Danio rerio: one gene and its partners. The protein of the gene in region 2 purifies or fractionates together with the protein of the main gene of each other region. This does not show direct contact. Links are inferred from orthologs where the notes say so. Each region holds a gene or a part of one and is shown on either strand. Other genes may lie near its edges.

Evidence for each region.
Region 1: the proteins of bmp2k (region 2) and reps1 purify together in Homo sapiens (affinity purification with mass spectrometry; 3 studies listed by BioGRID and IntAct, counting the BioPlex papers as one, with this or other methods). This does not show direct contact. The link is inferred for Danio rerio from reciprocal best matches to the Homo sapiens genes BMP2K and REPS1.
Region 3: the proteins of bmp2k (region 2) and ap2m1b purify together in Homo sapiens (affinity purification with mass spectrometry; 3 studies listed by BioGRID and IntAct, counting the BioPlex papers as one, with this or other methods). This does not show direct contact. The link is inferred for Danio rerio from reciprocal best matches to the Homo sapiens genes BMP2K and AP2M1.

What each region holds. Positions count from the first base shown.
Region 1 is NC_133195.1:42,536,393-42,539,432, reverse strand, and holds the end of reps1 (ralBP1-associated Eps domain-containing protein 1), read right to left. Parts: intron 1,956-3,040; coding exon 1,866-1,955; intron 1,786-1,865; coding exon 1,637-1,785; intron 900-1,636; coding exon 794-899; intron 695-793; coding exon 626-694; downstream 1-625. UniProt on the Homo sapiens protein: May coordinate the cellular actions of activated EGF receptors and Ral-GTPases.
Region 2 is NC_133180.1:40,038,645-40,042,306, reverse strand, and holds part of bmp2k (BMP-2-inducible protein kinase), read right to left. Parts: intron 3,219-3,662; coding exon 3,086-3,218; intron 2,051-3,085; coding exon 1,947-2,050; intron 1,822-1,946; coding exon 1,742-1,821; intron 1,653-1,741; coding exon 1,528-1,652; intron 1,413-1,527; coding exon 1,222-1,412; intron 1-1,221. UniProt on the Homo sapiens protein: May be involved in osteoblast differentiation.
Region 3 is NC_133193.1:48,967,489-48,971,150, reverse strand, and holds part of ap2m1b (AP-2 complex subunit mu-B), read right to left. Parts: intron 2,828-3,662; coding exon 2,683-2,827; intron 1-2,682.

The DNA of each region.
Region 1 (3,040 bases), on a different chromosome or scaffold from region 2:
TAAAAACAAAATAATTATTTCCGGGGTTGAACTATCCATCTAACAAGTGCCTGTCAGAACCGATTTTCCGAAGCATACTCCTAAAATAAAATGATCTCCCAAAGAAATGAGTTCTCCCCTTTATATGACCAGTGCATGGCCTAAAATGATTGTCTGAGCGCACACACGGGTGCCTCGAACATGGAAGAACGTGACAAGCTGCCCCGGGACTCTGGAGAACAGGAGGGGAAGAGGCTCCTTCATGTTAACCAGAATTACAGCCTGCTGCCGGCCATGACGTCAGGCTTCACAAGCTAAAGATAACTTGTGATTTCTGGAGCTTTACACATACAACCACTCAAACATTCTGTTTCATCAAAGTGCCATAATGGACAATGTTTCTGGACTCTGTTCCTCTGAATGGGCTGCACAAGACAGAACTGAATCTGGAGGAAGCAGCGATTTTAGTCTGTTCTCTCACAGTCTTACAGAGGAGCAGAGATGGGTGAAATGGACATCCTGCCAGAGGATCCAACAGACCACTCAAAAAAAACAACACAACAAACAAGTAAAAAGAAGGGGAAAAAAATGGGGTGACCATTCTTTCATACACACAAACATTCAATCTGAAGCTTGCACACACTGGTTACAAATGCGAAAAAGGTCTAAGCTGTTCCAGTTGCACTTCAAGCGATATTCTTTCTTCTAGCAGGTCCTAAAAAAACAGGATTTAGGAAAATATGAATTATAAGACATTAAAATATTAAGTGTCTTTCAATGCGATAAGCTCCTTTCATTAGACACCTTAAAATACCTTCAGTTGTTGCTGTAATTCACTGTTGAGTCTGGCTAAAACCGTATTCGTTTCTTTGTTTCTTCTAATGGAAGCCTGAATGGCCTTTTTGTCTTTACCGAGAGACCTGTTTTTAAACAGAGCATATAGGAGGCAGACGTTAATACACATGTAAATACAGTGAACAATGCTGGTTAAATCTCACAGCAAAAATTCCAGGATGTAGGTATCCAAGCAGCATTTTTTAAAGATTTGTTTTGTTTAATTGTGTAGCATAAAATATGCAAAATAAAACTTCAAAAAACAACAGAAACTGCAACATGAAACAAAAATCTAAACATGAAAAACCCCCAAAAAAATGCATAACAAAACCAAACATAAAACCAAACACAAAATAAAAAAACTAAATGAAACACGAAACAAAAAATACAAAACATGAAAAAAACTAAACAAAACATGAAACAAAAAACTAAATGAAAAACAAGAAACAAAACTAAACTAAACACAAAACAAACCATAAAACTCCAAACAAATCATGAAACAAAATACAAAACAAAAAACATTAAACCAAAAACACTAAACAAAATATCCGCAAAACATAAAACAAAAAAAATGCAAAAAAAAAAAACTAAACTAAACACAAAAACACAAAAATCACGAAACAAAACACAACTAAATGAAAAACAATAAACGAAAGAAACACAATACAGGAAACAAAAACATATGCAATACTAAACATAAAACACATAACTCCAAACAAATCATGAAACAAAAAAAAAACACAAAACAAAATAAAACCAAATAGAAAACAAAGCACAAATTAAATCAAACCAAACCAAACCAAACCAAAACAGTGATGTTTACCGAGGAATTGAGGGCTGTGTTGCTAGAACAGTGGCTATGACGTTAGACTTTTGAGGAAGGTCGTCCACATCTGGTCTGAGCTCATCTTCTGACTTCAGTCTTCGACGGACGGGTTTAGGAGGCGGGGCCAATGGAGTGGATACTTTGGCCTATAAATAACACACATTCAGGAATTACAAAGTGAAGCACTATTATTAATATGAACTGTGGTGCACAGAGACTGCCTTACAGAGTTGACAGTGGTTGCATTTCGTTCTTCGGCTTGAACGTCGTTCTTTGCTGTTCTCATCGTCCCGGCAGCTTCTGGCAATCTTTCTGCCTGTATATGTAGAGTTATTTTTGGAGAGAAATGAACACTTTACCACTTTCATTCGCCAAAGATGCATTAATATTATCAAAAGCAACAGCGAAGACTTACATTGTTAGGAAAAACCATGTTGATCCTTTGAACTTGATTATATAAAGTATATCACAAAACAAAATAGTTTTATAAAGCATACGATTTTTCTGAACAAACAAAAAAATGGTTTGCAATAAAAAAAACACAGTTCTTTCCCTAACTGCTAAAAATTCAGCTTTGACATCACAAACATAAATTGTTCAAATAAATTAAAATAGAAAAACTGTTATATTTAATAACAATTTCACAATATTAAACTTTTGTATTGGGTATATAAACATAAAAATAAAGCCACTAAAATACTGATGATCAATATCAATATAATTAATTAGGATTCTTTATACCTTAATTAAATATAATAGCAACTTTAAATATTTAGATAGATAACTATATTATATACATATTTCATTTTAATATATATAAATAATATAAATCATTTACATTTATTACAATTATGTAATTCAGTGCTTTTCACAGGTCTGAAATATACTTGTGGTGGTAGCCTGATTGAAACACCTTTTACTCACAACACAAATGGTCAACTACATGCGACAAACAAAAAAAATAATGTAATTTTTAACTATATTTTGGGTTTATTATGACACTGTTAAACACCTTTTCTTTACAATGGGTTAAAGTTATTTAAAAAGGCTGTTGAAATGAAATAAATCCACTATTTCTCTTACTTTTATGTTATTTAGGAGCCATGTGCACCCACAGACAGTTAAAGACTGCTCTCTCTCTCTCTCTAAAGTTGCTTTATTGGCATGACATAGTACAGTATTGACAAAGCATTTTAGATATGTATAAAGTGTGTAATAAATTAACATCATTAAATTATTAAAATATACTGAAAATTAGAAATACACAACAGAAAAAAGAAATAAATATAGACATTACTCCTAAAAATGACAATAATTACTAGAATAAAAAGTGAAGATTATTTAAATTAGTTGATTGGTAATTTCTTATTGTGTACAAATATTTTTCAGCCAGTATATTTT
Region 2 (3,662 bases):
AGTACGTCTGATAATATTTTTTCCATCTGAAGAAAGTTTTATTTGTTTTATTTTGGCTAGAATAAAAGCAGTTTTTAATAAATAAAAAAAAAAAACTGTCAAAATTATTAGCCCATCTAAGATATATATATATATATATATATATATATATATATATATATATATATATATATATATATTTTTTTTTTTTTTTCCTCGATAGTCTATAGAACAAACTATCGCTATAAAACACCATGCCTAATTACCCTATCCTGCCTAGTTAATCTAATTAACCTAGTTAAGCCTTTAATTGTCACGTAAAGCTGTATAGATTATATTTACTGTCATCATGGCAAAGATGAAATAAATCAGTTATTAGAAATGAGTTATTAAAACTATTATGTTTAGAAATGTGTTGAAAAACTGCTCTCCATTAAACAGAAATTGGGGGGGAAAAAAAACAGAGGGGCTAATAATTCAGGTTGGGGGGGCTAATAATTCTGTGTGTGTGTACATATATATATATATATATATATATATATATATATATATATATATATATATATATATATATATATATATATATATATATATATATATATATGTTCTTGATCTTATAAATTAAATTTTCCTCAGTTATCTTTGTCACTATAAAACACATCACAACATGGAATAAAAGATCTGTCACTACTTTCGGTGCACTTTGACTTCGAGAGAAAATCACCCGTTGAACCAGCAACTGTGTAATTAAAAAGATGCAACACCACCTGTATGTGTAGAGGTGTAATACACAATACCATTAAATGTATTATTAAAGTCTTAAAGATAAGATGTCAACAAACAATGTTCTTTTGACATGGATTAAGATTTGCATAAGAACTTAAGTTGCACAATGCAAACAGTCCCATATAATGTGGGTCATTTATTATGTGTGAACAATGCAGTCATCATGTGCTCATCAGCAGACCACAATGTCCAGTCCAAACAAGAAGCAACTGTCTCTCACAACACACACACAATTTACACCACTGTGATTTTCCACAGTTACCCAACTAGTCTATTAAAAACAAATCATCACTTGTATTTCCTGTAGATATGAACTATTGAAACTGCACCTGTTCCTAAATACAATCATTTATAAAATGTCTTTCAAAAATAGAAACTTGATATTGAAAATCTACAAAAAAGCAGTAAAGTCTTAAACCTGCTGGACACTTGTCCTGATCCCAAGCCCCTCAATACCTGTTGCATGTACTGTAGCTGCTGTGCGGCGATTTGCTGTTGATGTTGGATATTGTGGTGCTGCTGCTGCTGCTGCTGTTGATGATGTAGCTGTTGCAGTCGCAGGTCTCCAGGCTGCAGCTGCTGTAATACTCTGTTCTGTTGACTGCTGTTCGGCATCTGTGCTGCTGACTGCTGCCCATTTCCAGAAGCTGAAACAAGCACACACACACAGAATACAGTCAAACTAATTCCTCCAATAGGGCAAAAACACAAAACAGCAACAATATTTAAGAAAAACATGGATAGCTTTTTGGCCTAGTGTACCTGTGGTTACAGTCATTTTCACAGGAGTTACTGAGCTGGACAAAGGCAGAACATTGCTATTTGCAGCTTTAGGCCTTTGTCTGGGTGCAATTGACGTTTCCGTTGGTCCAACCGAATCAGTTATTCTAATAAAATAAATGGTAAAAGGAGGCTATTTTAATGGTGTTGCATTCAAAGAATGTGAAAAATTACAAACAAAGTGCTAAAATGTTACCGGGCTTTTGTCAGGCTCTTCTTAGCAGCAATATCACTAGCAGTAAAGGGCTCTGGCAATGAGGTGGGAAGGGGAGAATTCTGTGTGGCAGAAAAAAAAAAATAAATAAAATAAATAAATAAATAAATAAATAAATAGCGATAATTCTAAATGAAATAAAATTAATGCTTGTTATTTTCTGTAGTCTATGATTTAGATAACTTACAAAAAGATTTGGCACTGGACACTCCTTTCCAGCTAACCGAAAGGCAAAGTAAGAAACCTGATAGATGTCAGGTCTCTTTTCTTGATCAGGCTCCAACATGTATCCTGTGAGAAAAAAGGTAAATAAAATACATAAAATGAAAGTATGTATGTATGTATATGTATGTATGTATGTGTGTGTTTTTATTTAGCTTACAGTTAAGAGTGATTGCATACAAATTATGTGACAATGAAACTAATGTGATATTAGGAACAGCACAAAAAAATGCATGCATATAAAAAAAAACACACACACACACACACACACACAAGGTTTACATAGAAGTATCAAGATGCCTGAAAAAATATAAAGTTATATAATTGAAGTAAAAATTCTTTAAAAAAAATATTTTAATATATTGTTTTTGGTCACACTTTACAAATAGGTTCCCGTTAATGTCAGTTAATATATTTACAAACATGAACTAATAATGAACAATAATTGTACAGTATTTATTAATCATAGTTCAACATTTACGAACACATTATTTAAATCCAAATTCTTGCTTGTTATAGCATTATTTCTTATATGCTCTTTAATTTAAAATCAACTAAAAATGAATGACGATAATACCAAAAGATGAATAAATACTGTAATAAATGCATTGTTCAATAATTCTTCACGATAGTAAATATTTTAACGATTATTAATTCAACCTTATTGTAAAGTGTTACATAGCTCTGTTAATTCTGTACATATTTTTATTCTAATGTAGTTTAACATTTTCATTGACTCACGCTCATGTCATTCCTAACCTGTTTGAGATTTTCTGTAGAATTTCAAAGATAAATGTGTTGAGATCTGTTATAAAGTCTAAAAACGGTGAGGCGTTTCTCAAAATATTTTTCTTTTATCTTAAGTCTTTTATATTTGTTTATGTTAAGTCAAACAGGTTTGGAACAACATAAAAGTGAGTAAAATGAGTAAATTATGACCACTGTAATTTTCTGCTGAACAATTTTTTAAGAGAAGGAAAACAGCAAGAAGTACCTCCATATGACCAGTGGATGGAGCTATTGTTTAACTTTAATTTCAAAACACTCCCACAGTCTATCAGGAAATAATCTCAAACCTCTTGGGAATATCTGAAAGATGCTTACTGATTAAACCGTGCAACTTTGAGGAGAATTTGGAACCGTCCGGAACAGCAAAGGTTCCATCACATATGGCAACCTGACTCTCCCCAAATGGAAGTGTGAAGAAACACAGCTTGTACAACAAGCATCCAAGCGCCTGTGGAAGAGAGAGAAAACCAAAAGCTAGAATTCATCACAACATTCAACAGATCAGGTTTCACAGCTCTATTATGTAAATACTGCACAGTGACAATACGTATAATGGCTGACAGCTGCTTTTCACACTGTGACAAATTCAGAGAATGTATCTATTTTGGGACCAAGAAAATGGACAGGAAGTACTGTCATACATTTCCTCTTCCTAGCCTGCAAGTTCTGACACGATGACCATGAACTTCTACCATCTGTGATGGCAAAACTGCTTGTTTTTTTGTTTTGTTCTTTCTTCTCTTACGTCCAGCATTTGTTTGGAAGGAAATGCAGCTGTAAGACGAGGCTAAGCTACCTACCTTTCACAGCATGTCAATATAAAAGAGGAAGTCTGCCTTCATGAGGGCCTCATTCCTGTCTTTACAACACTTCCAGAAATCAGGAAGCTCTT
Region 3 (3,662 bases), on a different chromosome or scaffold from region 2:
ATGGCATGACACAAAGACAAACGGCTGAGACAGGACAGAGTGAGGGTGACAGATTATGTGACGTCAGGAGTGAGAGTTACGCTACCTGCCTCCCAACTCACTGAAGTCCAGCGGGAGAGAGGAGAGAGGCACACAAATCAACGGAACAAAAATGGAAAACTAAAAGAAAATAAAGGGCTGAAGCATCGGCCCCTCAGAATAAAACATTCCTCTGTAAAGATACAAATACCTACCAGCACAGAAGGCAACAGAGGAAGAGCAAGAGTGCAAGACACAAAACACAAAAGAGCCAGGAAGAATGAATTCACTTGATGTGGGATTCATTTCCTGTAAACATGGTATCCAAATGTTCTGCGCTTCGTGGCACTTCTTCCCTTTCTGGATTTTATTACTCGTAAGTGCTAATAAAGCCTTAAAAATCCACGTTAAGAGGGACATCTTAAACCAAAACTACTTAAACTCAATAAGAAACTATATTCACAAACCAGTTTACTTCAGCAATTATAACTCATTTCCAACTCAAAAATTATTGTATTTTATAGTAAATGACTGGAGTGAGAAATGTTTCTACAGGATATGTAGCTGAAAGAGAAGAACTGAAAAATATCACATTTGCAGTATTATTAAAAGGAATAGTCACACAAATAATAAAATTCAGTCATCATTTACTCATCCTCAAAACCTGTTTGGCTTTCTTCTGTTGAACACAAAAGATATTTTGAAGAAACCTGGAACCGTGTAACTACTGACCTCCACAGTATTTGTTTTTCCTACTATGACAGTAATAGTTAAGAGATTAAGAGAGTAAATAAACAAATATGAATTTGGAACTGACTGAGCACAAGTAAATATTGAATAAACCACATTTTTGGGGGAGCTATCCCTCTAAGATGAGCTATCTCCTCAACTCCTGTTTTTCAAAATTCAGGTTCTCAAAAAGGGTTTGGGAACCTCTAGTGGTGTGTGATGGAACTGCTGTAGATTTGGATGATAGTGACAGAAATGACCATTCTAAATGACATTTAAAAAAAGTCATGAAATGCTTTTGAAATATATAGGAAAAAAATATATAGCTTAAAGGGGCTTGACCTTAAAATGATTTTTAAAAAAATTAAAAACTGCTCTTATTGTAGCTGAAATAAAACACTTTCACAAGACTTTCTCCAGAAGAAAAAAATATTATCAGACATACTGTTAAAATTTCCTTGCTCTGTTAAACATCATTTGCGAAATATTTAAAAAAAGAAAAAAAATAAAGGGGGGGGGGGGGGGGTGGGGTGGGCGGCGAATAATTCTGACTTAAACTGTAAACACACACACACACACACACACACACACACACACATATATACATATATATATATATATATATATATATATATATATATATATATACATACATACATACATACATACATACATACATACATACATACATACATACATACATACATACATACATACATACATACATACATACATACATACATATATATATATATATATATATATACATACATATATATATATATATATATAAAAAATGATAAATTAAGAGGACAGTTCAACCCAAAAAATTTAGTTAATTCATCATTTACTAGCATTTTGTGGTTTTAAAACCTGGGAGTTCCTTTTTTTCTGCTGAACCTAAAAGATAAAAAGGTAGCTGGTATCCATTGACTTCCATTGTAGAAAATACTACTATGAAATTCAATGGCAATCAGCTTCCAAAAATCTTTTTGTTTAACAGAAGAAACTCAAATAGGTTTTAAAGAGAAGAGTGAGTAAATCACTGAATTTTCAATACTGGGTGAATTATCCCCCCCCCCCAAAAAAATAATAATAAATAAATAAATAAATAAATAAATAAATATCAGACATATTGTGAAAACTTCCTTGCTGTGAAACATCATTTGGGAAATATTTAAAACAGAAAAGAAAAATTCAAAGGGAGGCTAATAATTCTGACTTCAACTGTATGTGCTGTATTGCAGTACTGTTCAATACATTAATAAAGCACTGCAGCCACATTAATAATCAGACTAAATACTACTATAGCTTAAATATAAATATTCTGTTATTCTGTATAATGATATACTTCATCCACACAATATAAATAATTTATCATAAAATAGAAGGAAAAAATAGTCTGGATATTAGAAAAGAATACGCACAGACAGGAGGTCTACATCAAGAGACTGCCACAAGACACCATAACTCTTACTATAATCAGTATTGTAGTTAAAAATTAGGAATGCACCTCTGTGAAATTACACACACATTAAGTGGAATATAGAGAAATATGAAAAACTATAGTGAGGTATAAAAACATCCGTATGGTTTTACTGTCATCTTAATTCCATGACCACTTTTACATTAAAATAAACTAACATGTACACATAAAAAGGACAGTTTAAGTAAAATTAACTGGAATGATAACTACTAACAACAAAATATACATCATTTAAATTAAAAATCACAATGACAGCGATATTGACAGAAGAATACAACCTATTTTTTCAGCTGATAAAAGAGAAAAAAAAAACACTAACAGCCATTTAGAACGTGCACATGCTTACTGTAGACAGACAAGCAAATATAGTGATCCTTCTTAATGTGGAGGGAGCGTTTATTCTGATCATCAGAAGGCATTAACATCTCCATGAGTGTCATTGGACTCACCTCTTGCCAGTGTCATCAGTAGTGCCACCTTTGCCCTGCTTGTCGATGACAATCTTGTCGTTCATGCCAAACTTGCACTCTGGCATCCCGCTCAGGTAACTCTTCATGACCACACGGCCCGACACGTGTGCACTCAACACCTGACCTGCACACACAACTCACCATTCAGTATTGCAATTCTCAGCCACAAATCTACTGTAAGGGCGTACAATCTATCATATATCTGTATTGCAACCTTAGAGCACAAAACCAGGAAAAAAAGGGGCATTTTATTTCAATGCTTTATTATCTTTCCTTTGATCGATGGTTTGTTAGGACATTATTTGGTGGGATGGAATTATTTGTAAATCTGGAATATGAGGGTGCCACAAAAAATCTACATACTGGAAAAAAAGGCTCTTAAGTTTGTCCAAATTAAGTTACTTATAATCAAATTTTTATACATTTACAGTAGGAAATTAAAAAAAAATGACTTGATGGAAAATGATCTTTACAAAATGATAGAAAAAATATCATTTTAACCCATACAATAAGTTTAGGCAATTGCCAAAGATATACCCATGCAACATAAGACTGGTTTAGTGGTCTAGAGTCACAATTGTCACATCAATAACATGCAAGAACGTCCAAAAGCATTGAGTTTTGATGAAGCTCGTTGGAATGCAGTTAGCCATTTTTTTTATTTAAAAGGACAGTAGTAAAATAATAATGCAATAAGCCAAAATCAAAAGAGTGATTTCCCCGAACATCAGCACAAGAGCATGACTGCACGTGACATCGATTTATAAACAAATGCTTAAAAACAATACATTAACAATGACAAAGCTACATATCAGACACCATATTATCTGTTTTTCTGTTTGGCAAACCAATATAAAATCCAAACAATAGAACTTTTCAGATCAACAAAGTGTTCCTACAACATAATTGTGTGAGACTGGTGTAAATGCTGTATGTGACGTCTCTGGTGACCTTCTTGT